Linked DNA regions of Neurospora crassa OR74A. The protein of the gene in region 1 binds, or shares a complex with, the protein of each later gene. Links are inferred from orthologs where the notes say so. Each region holds a gene or a part of one and is shown on either strand. Other genes may lie near its edges. The genes, in order: NCU07710 and NCU03029.

Region 1 (4,481 bases):
GGACGTCATACACTGAGCGTAGGCCGTCTACGAGTGCCTCACAAATGACTATGACTGGGCATAGATCCAGTCAGCGCTTCAATGCCGACAAACCTGAATCGCGTAACCGTAAGACGGTCGACTTCGACAAACTCAACTCCAAGCGTTCACCAACAATCACTCCAAAAGTTCCAAAGTTCATGAAGCAGATCAGCCTTGGCAGCTCCGGTTTTCGCATTGCCGCACCCAAAGCTGCGACGGCAGAACTTAGCATTGAAAGTGTGAATGCTGATAGATCATTGGCATCTTCAAGGGCTTTGATGAACGCGGGCACTGTTGCAACTCCAGCCAAAGCAGCAATCAACCGGTCAATGTCGCCCCAGATGTTCGCGAGTGGAACTCCCGTTTTCTCCCCTTGGGGCGCTACACCAGGCTCATTCGCGCCCAGCCATCAGTACTTTGAGGGTACTCCAAGCCGGCCGATGCCAATCAAGTCGCAACAGATTCCTACTGACCCTGCAGCCAACATGCTATCAGGCTCGATGCTTGCCTCAACACTACGGGCCGATTACGTTCCTGATAATCGCGATCTCTTCTATTCAGATGCAATCAGAGCTGAGGATGCGAAGAAGGTTTATAATAACAAGCTTTTGGCCGGAGCGGTACCGGAATTACCGTCAACTTTATCGCCGACAACCGCGCTGTCACCTTGGCTGACGTTGGTCAACCCGTCGAACCCTGATAGCAACAAGGTCGATATTGCCACGTTGTACAGTCGTTGGCAACATGTGTTTCCTAGGCCAAACGAGACGCGGGTGATGAAATGGAAGTCTTTGTGCTCCCCCGCTGCCGTTCCACTAACCACAGAGTACTTCCCTACCAAGGCACAGTTCGAGTCAGAGTACCACCGTCAACCGTATAATGTCTCGCAAAATGCTGATGATGAGCTGGCCGAGGAACCCAAGTCACGCGACGAGATGCTGCGCGAGATGATCAGTCTCAGATTCTGCCAAGGATTCCAGGTCGTTGTAGGCCCAGCTGTTGCCAAAGCCTTTGGCCAGAAGCAACTCAAGGTTACCGACATATTCTCCCGCGACCACACAGCAGAGGATGGTACAAGCATCTTCATGTCGGTCGGCAACACGATCCACCAACTGTCGTGTGTGAATGGCACCGAAATTGAAGTTAATATCTTTGTCCGGAAGCCGATCGCCTCGGCGGGACTGTACAATGACCGTTACTTGTACAAACCGGCGATACGAACTCTACTTGACCACGGTTACAAAACCCGTTCTTATGACATGGTGGCCCCAACGCCTGATCGGAACTGGAATTACGTCGATGCCTTTGTTGCAGGGCATAATGACGAGTTGTCCGAACATTTGAGGTTTTGGCGCGCTAGGTTCGTCCTGATACCAATGACAGCCAGACACTCGTTTTTCCCCAAGACGCAGTACGGGGACAGTGAAGAAGAGATTCGCATCGAAGGCATTCGGAAGCTTGCGCAGATGTGGCAGAAGCACAGGTATATCCCGGCGAGCGAACGGAGCTTTCAAGCATCGCGTCGCAAAAAGGACATGAATCCCCTTGATATCGTTTACAAAACAGAAGATCCATCCGTAGTTATTGCGGCCGAGCTGGAAACGCTTCCGTTGTTGGAGGGCCTGGAAGGCGGGCACAGGAAGGGTCAGCTGGTCACGAGCAGAGAGCAATTTTCGAAGAAGAACTTCAGCCTGGCAGCATTGGCAGAGGCTATCCAGCAGCCCGTGGAAAATGGAGGCATTCGAATGCAAAACCGGCGCTGGCATTTGCGCCTCCATTACAACTGCTTCATCGGCTCTGACATGACCACTTGGCTCCTGGAGAACTTCGAAGACTTGGAGGACAGAGAGGAAGCCGAAGAGCTTGGTAACCGTCTCATGGTCACTTCAGATGATAAGTCGAAGGATGAAAGCAAAGATGGGAGGAAGGATGGCGGTGGACTCTTCGTGCACGTTGAGAGGCGACATCCTTTCAGAGATGGCCAGTACTTCTACCAGATCAGCAGCGACTATGCGAAACCCAACCCTCCAGGCTGGTTTAACACAAGGCGGGTTCCAGTGTCTGTCCCATCAACACCGCATTCGGAAGTACGGGATTCACCAAGGTCCAATGTGTCGATGTCAAGACCAACATCTATCCACGAAGACAGCTCTCCCACCTCTGGAACGGTTACCCCAACGGCAGCTATGATGGCGGGTGGCAAGAAGCCCAGGGTGGTTCTGAGTAAGGTCATGAAATACGATGTTGACCATCGAAAACGCTCTTACCGGCCCGAGGTGGTCGATTTGCATTACGACAGACTTCACAACCCCGACAATTGTTACCATATCCGGATCGACTGGATGAACGTAACAGCCAAGTTGATCGAAGATGCTATTGAGGCATGGGCTCGCGAGGCAGCCTTGTACGGGCTCCGGCTCGTTGAGGTTCCTATCAACGAAGCTTGTGATATAACGGAAATTAACCCGTTCCGCCGACCGTACATGATCAAGCTGGCTGTCCAGCCACCAAACCAACAGCCCATCACCTACTTTGATCCCAATTCGTTTACTCCGCAAGCACAGCCAGGGCGGCACTTCTATCAGAGGGCTCTCCTGAGAAAGTTTGACTTTGTTCTCGACATGGAGCCAGCGTCCAGCTTCCCCTATACCGTCGACGTGTCGTACTCATGGGGCAAGCCGGACTTTAAATACACGCAGTTCATCCACCGCTCCGGTACTCTCATTGCTGAAATCACCGACGAAGGCGACATCCTGATCTTAGCCAACCGTCTCTATAGCAACCGCACGGCGGCCCAGCGTGAGAAGGAAATGCAGCAGAAGGGAGGCGGATCCGGTGCCGGGGGCGACAACCTCGGACTCGGTCCCGGTCCAGGCCGCATCTCAACGCCTGGTCTCTACGGACCAAACGCTCACCCAGACCAGCCAAACGCAGTCTCCTCCCCGCTCGTCAAACCCACAACAGCCTTCCTCTCCCCCGCGCTTCGGCCGCACCTCATCGGGCCCCTGGCCAGCGGCCCCCCATCAACCAACGGATTCGGCACCACAGGCCAACCCCTCAACCGATCCACCGTCACCGTCCCCGTAACGCCCGTCATCCAAGACCCTGAGGTTATCAAAGACGAGCTCGAATCCTTCTGCCGCGACCGCTCCGCCCTCGAGGCCTTTTACCGCGAATTGCTCGAGCGCGAAGCGCACCCGCCCGCACCCAACACCACGCCCGGCCTTGCGCCCGTGAAGATCCCGTCGACCACAGCGACGAAGGACTCAACCCTCGCCTTCGCTACTCCTCACCTCGGCGCCGGTCAAAATACTACCAGCACGGGTCACACGGTTCCCGATACGAACATCCCCAGCCTCGGCCTTCCTCCGGGCGTGCTAGCAGCAATAGGCGGCACCGGCCTGAGCAATCTTAGTGACTTGCAGCTGGTAGGTAGCGGGACTGGGCTGGGAATCAGTCCTGTACGAGTGGGAAGTCCGAGCTTGTTGTCGGCTGCGTCGGCTGCGTCTGCGGGCCACCCCTCGCACTCGACGATGATGAGGAGAGCGAGCGTGCAGGAAGGGGTTATGGGTAGTAGGATTGGTTTGGGCTTTGGGGGAGGTGCGTCAGCTGCAGCTGCAGCTGCTCAAGCGGCGGCGGCAGCGGCAGCGGCAGGAGCTTCGGGAGCGGGAGCTGCTGGTAGTAGTTCTGATGCTGGTGGTGCCGGAAACATTGGTGGTGGTGCTGGCGGAGATGCAGGTGCTAGTGAGCACTGAAGGAGAGCGTGGGAGGTGGCAAGAGGGGTGTGAAAGGGGGGAAGGTGGAATAAGATGGGTTTGAGTAGTTTGATGGTCATGGATGGTACTTGAGAAGATGTAAAATCATGTATGGAGATCGAATAAATCATGACAGACAGTGGAACATGGTTTCAAGTATACTAAGTGGAAGTATCGCTATATATTGTAAAGGTGCTTTGATGCCATCCCAGGTAGTCACTACCTTGGAGAGCTTGGATAGCGAGCATTCAAGTATGATGGGTGATACTCCACTTTCGTGAGATACTGTATCTTGCTTGCTGTCAGTCAGGTCGCACAACATCTTGAAAGTCGCAACTATTTCTGGCTAGGATGATCGCTATCGAGGACTAACGACGAATTCGCATCCCTTGGTGGTCACTGCTTCTTTCACCATAGAGACCCGCCTGCATGAAGGTATGTAAAGCTTCCGTATAACTCCAGTCCGCAACACCAATTCGCAGGTATCTTTGTCGTGGACTCGCACTAAATTGCCAACATATGTAACTATCCTTCCGTTTCAGGATAGGTAGCAGGACTGAGCAAACTGTCCAAAGAGAAAAAGGAATCTCGATGAGGTGCAGCACGGTCAAGTACGTCCTACCCCATCCGCACTGCATCGCATCACCAAAATCCATGTCGCTCGCAGACAAAAAAAAAAGATGACGCAAAAAAGATGTTTCAACC
Region 2 (4,586 bases), on another chromosome or scaffold:
AGGCCGCCAGAGGAGAGGTATGCTGAGCAGCTGCGTCAACTCAACGATATGGGTTTCTTCGATTTTGATCGGAACGTTGCTGCACTACGCCGCAGCGGTGGTAGCGTACAGGGTGCTATCGAACATCTTCTGGGCGGTTCTTAACTTAAATTTCTTTACTAGACGGTGCAGAGATGTGGACCGGAGATTGACAGTTATCTGCTGTTCCTCAAGGATACGGCGGTATTCACAATGAACGACAGAATGTCGAGGGGATAGTGGATTGAAGGATGTCCAGGGAGTGCAGTGTTATCTCCTGGCGAGGTCATTGTTGGGCCGTGCTAGATATATTTTAATCAAATATCTAGCGATAATGGTTGCTCAGGAGGACGATAGACAGTCCAGCACAGAGACGATGCTCAAAACAACACCCCTTCAGCGGGTGTCCTCACGTAAGGAGGTTTACATGTTTACAGTTTAGCGATCTTTATCAAACATGTCTCCTCTTGCTTGAATCAACAAGGTTCTTTTGTCCTCTAAGAAGACGAGTTCGCATACAGTAGCCGGGCTAACTATCAACACCACTAATCAACTCTTATTTGCATGCTATCATTCCCTCTACCGATAAAGCACCGTCAAATCCCCAGCCGGCACCGGAAAGTTCCTCAATTTATCCATAATCTCCGCGTCCGTCATGTTCCTCTCCGTCATGATCTGATCAAAACAATGTCGTCCATCCATATACTTTTGCAACGGATCCCCACTAGCCTTCATCATCATCGCCATCTTCTTGCTGTTCGACCCCTTCCCCCCCGGACCCCCATGACTCCCGGGTTCACGATAGGTATCATAATGTCCGCCCGGCACCGCCACTTTATGTTCCCTCCCCATTTCCCCTTCGCCATACCCCCTCCCACTTTTCCCTTTGCCTGTGCCAGTTCCGGTGTCGGATGGCGAAACAGGTCTAGCCAACCCCGTAGCTAGCGCAGCCAGATACTGTTTCGAGATAACATACTTGTGCACCCTGTACAAACACCCCTTGATGACGCCAAATTGAACTAAGCGGCGAACGTCCACGTACCGTAGGACGTCGAAGCCGGAATCCATATGGCCCTTGAGCCATTCGGCCACGGTTTTGCCGACGCAGAAGGTAGTCATTAGGCGGATTAGCATGTAGTTGGATATGCGGTATCCGTTGGGTGGTGGGGGCTTGTTAGACGGTGGGGAGGAGGAGGAGTGGATGTTGGAGGAAGGGTTGCGGGGGGAGGTGGAGGGCTTTCGTTCGTGGACGGGGGAGAGGTGGTGTTGGGCGTAAGGGCTGGGATCGCGGTCGGAACCACCTCCTGGGCCAAGGCCAAAGGGGGAGAGGTGGCTGTGGCGTGTGCTGGCAGAGGTGGAGAGGTTGGAGGGATTGTGGTTGTGGAAAGTGGTGCTTCCTGACACAGAACGGAGACGGTGGTAGTTGTCGGAGGAAGAAGAAGAAGAAGAAGGTCCGGCGCCGGTGCCGGTGTTGTTGCTGCTGCTGGGAGACGGATCGATAGGTCCGACGCAGACGTAGTTAGCACATTCGTCGACCATGCCGCCTACGTTGGCGATGAAGTCGTGGATGCCCGGGCGAGGGGCGTAGCACGCGCCGAACAAGAACATGTCTAGGAGCAGGATAGTGTCGTAGTAGAGCAAGTGGCGGAGGGCGAGCTGGGTCAGCTCGAGGGAGACGCCGGAGGCCAGAGCAATGCGGCGCACGTCGGAAACGCCATCGATATGAGCGACGACGCGCTGCAGGGTTAGATCCCAGGTTGGGTCGACGACGTCGGCGAACTTCATCTTGGCGACGGGGACGTGCCAGCCTTTGACTTCAGGGGGGTTGACGTGGTGAGGAAAGAGTTTCATGTTGATTGTGTTAGCGTCGTCTGTTTTGAAACGGTCAGCATTTTTTGTAACTAAGGTGATGAAGGGGGGTGAATAGGTAGGGAGATATACCAATGGGAATCATGCACTCTCCATAGTTATTCAGATCCTCCTTCACAATCTCCAGCAACGATTCTATCGGCCGCCGCATACTCACCATTTCATTCCCGTCCCCATCCACCCAACGGCCCCCGCCATTGCCATACCCATGAACCGCGACCGCTCCGCCCCTCGTGGCCGCGTCCTGGCTCAGGTAGCCGTCCTGCTTCTCCATCTCGGCAAAGGTGGCCGCCAGCCTCCTTACGACGCGTTCATAGGGGATCTGGTCCACCACATCGCAACTGATGACGAGCCCAAAGTTGAAAATGAACTCGTTCCGGTCGTACCGCGGGTCCGGAATGGAGACGGGGTATCCCAGGATGACGTACTTGCCGTCCGGGTCATTGACGGTGATGAAGCGGTTGCAGAAGGCCTTGCGCGGGATGATGTACTCCTGGAGCACGCTGAAGTCGAAGAGACATGGTTTCCTGTTGAGGGGACCATTGGTGCCTTCTGGAAGTGGAACTGGCACGATTGAGCCCGGTGGACTTTGTGCGACGATTTTGGTTCCTGAGTTAGGGAAAAGTGCCACTGGTTAGCTTGAGATTCACTACACTTCGTCTTTGGGCTGTCTTGGCCAGACCCAATAAAAATGGGTGGGCAAATGACTTTGATGAGTGACGGGCAAGGCAGGCTATATGTACCCTCTTTTGGAAAGAACCTGGCATAGAAGATTGCTTGAATCATGATTTAAATGATTGTTGTCGAAACCCAGGGTCTTCTTGGTGTTGGGAAAAGCGACTTTGGATTTGACGCCGAGACGAGTAATATGGTCTCATCGGATGTTACCGGCGCTCATTTCTATCGGTTGGTTCTACCGAGTAGCGTATAGATGTCATCCGAATCTGAAGTAGAATGAAATTGCTTTTGAGAACAATGATCAGACACTTTGCAAACCAAAGATGACGTTAGCATAGTAGTCGTCGCCGTGGTCGGTTTGCCAGAAGTTGTCACGTATTGTGTTTTGTCTTGGGAAAGGTGCCTTGGTGCTACGAGGTCAATGGCTGCTAGTGTGTACCTCACATATAACCCTAACCCCTCCCACAAAAACAGAGAACACATAACCCCTTTTCGACTTCAGCATCGGAGGACCCAGGAATGAACGCTAACTATCCGTGTATTTCAAAATGTTTGCTTGAGAAACATCATGATCATTCTGGAAATACCATATTGTCGTTTGTGTTTTTCATATTGCGGGGCTCCACGGTATTGACTATGATGTCCAAAAATCGGGTATTCTCATGCTTCTATCTTACAAAATATGTATGGGGAGTAACGCTTTTGTCCAACCAATCCAACCTTTATGCCTTTTCTCTGTGCCACCCTACCATGCGAATAGAATCTTACACATTCTCTACCACTTATACGGATCCCTATCATCTTGAGTCTGCTTCTTCACCCCATCTCCCCGCACAGAGGGTTTTTCGTCCATCATGCCATCAATCGTTTTTACTGAGGCAATCATCTCCTGCTTAAGCTTGGTCTCCATATCCTTCTTTTGCCTGCTCTTTTCCTCAGGGAAGATAATCTGCTGGCCCTGCTGCTTCTCCTGCGAACTCTTTTGCAGCTCGTTCACAGCATTCTTAGCCTCTTCAGGGGTCAACTTCTTCTCTTTGAGGTTCTTCATAATCTCATTCAGTTTCCTGACAGCGCCGGTAAAGCTCTGTCCGGGGTACGTCTGGCCCGAAGCAGCATACTCGACGTCGCTGACCATCTGGATTACACGCACGTTGTGCTTGCCCTTGCGGAGGATTAGCAGGTTGCCGTTAATCAGGTAGCGCTGGGTCTCGCCGGGGAACCACAGCTTGACGGGCATAAAAGAGATGAGGTCCGGGTTCATGGTGACGTTCTCGCCGCCGGCTCTGTGGGCTCCGCCGACGTAGCAGCCCTGGGCAGCCGCGAGCTTGTGGCCCTCGGTGGTGCTGCTGGCGAGACCGGCGGCGTAGAGGATGCGGCCGATAGACTTGCCCATGATGAGCGACTCGGGGAGAATCATGTCGATACGGGGCGCGTTGTTGAGGGTGACAGGCTGATCTGAAATCGTCTTGTACTGATCGCCACCGGTGGCTGCGTCCTTGGCACGAGAGACTTGGGGAATGGTCATCTGGCCGGTATACATCATACGATGCTGGTCCTCGGCGGCGCTGGCCTCCTGTTTACCGTGCACCAGCGTCACAACCTCACGCGCAAGGGTATGTTGCGCGACACGCTTGCTAGGGTCTTTGATGTGCTCCTCCATAGTCTTGGTGATTTCGCTGATGGGCATGAAAGTGAAGAGCTTGAGGAGATTCTCAACCTCTTGGTCGGACCGGCGGACAAAGTAACCATAGAAATCGAAGACGGAGGTCTGATAGGGGTCAAGCCAAATGGCGTTACCCGCACTCTTACCAAACTTGGCACCGGATGAATCGGTCAAGAGAGGGACGGTGAAGCCGACGCATTCGTCAAGGGCAGTCTTGGGCGTAACATATTTGCGCTCCTGCGGGTCGGGCTCGGATTCTCGGGCGGCCTTGACGACCTCGAGACCAGATATGATGTTGCCGTACTGATCAGAACCTCCAATCTGCATCTGAACTCCCTGCTGGTAGAACAACTCGAAC

What was found.
Region 2: the proteins of NCU07710 (region 1) and NCU03029 are in contact, whole or in part, in a cryo-EM structure (PDB 8AE6), measured with the Saccharomyces cerevisiae proteins. The link is inferred for Neurospora crassa OR74A from reciprocal best matches to the Saccharomyces cerevisiae genes IML1 and NPR2. Residues at the interface, in NP_012672.1 of Saccharomyces cerevisiae: Glu288, Asn291, Phe292, Glu293, Glu294, Thr295, Gly296, Glu297, Gln298, Phe300, Gln301, Asn305, Pro309, Phe339, Lys340, Pro344, Trp367, Val368, Met371, Glu372, Arg375, Glu376, Met379, Pro403, Ile405, Lys406, Leu445, Pro476, Leu477, His478; in NP_010852.4 of Saccharomyces cerevisiae: Pro106, Arg110, Met114, Val117, Leu118, Glu120, Gln121, Asn122, Glu220, Gly221, Asn222, Ala223, Asp225, Lys227, Phe229, Pro234, Pro235, Ser247, Ser248, Val249, Asn250, Lys253, Ile254, Ile255, Asp256, Val257, Asn258, Trp259, Asp260, Pro261.

The regions. Positions count from the first base shown.
Region 1 is NC_026504.1:2,119,405-2,123,885, reverse strand, and holds the end of NCU07710 (vacuolar membrane-associated protein iml-1), read left to right. Parts: coding exon 1-3,776; 3' UTR 3,777-3,933; downstream 3,934-4,481. UniProt on the Saccharomyces cerevisiae protein: Component of the SEA complex which coats the vacuolar membrane and is involved in intracellular trafficking, autophagy, response to nitrogen starvation, and amino acid biogenesis.
Region 2 is NC_026501.1:8,388,694-8,393,279, reverse strand, and holds NCU03029 (hypothetical protein), read right to left. Parts: upstream 2,955-4,586; 5' UTR 2,674-2,954; coding exon 2,631-2,673; intron 2,497-2,630; coding exon 1,960-2,496; intron 1,890-1,959; coding exon 598-1,889; 3' UTR 426-597; downstream 1-425. Other genes in the region: NCU03028 (deubiquitination-protection protein dph1), read left to right, coding at 1-144; cyt-18 (tyrosyl-tRNA synthetase), read right to left, coding at 3,341-4,586. UniProt on the Saccharomyces cerevisiae protein: Component of the SEA complex which coats the vacuolar membrane and is involved in intracellular trafficking, autophagy, response to nitrogen starvation, and amino acid biogenesis. Mediates inactivation of the TORC1 complex in response to amino acid starvation.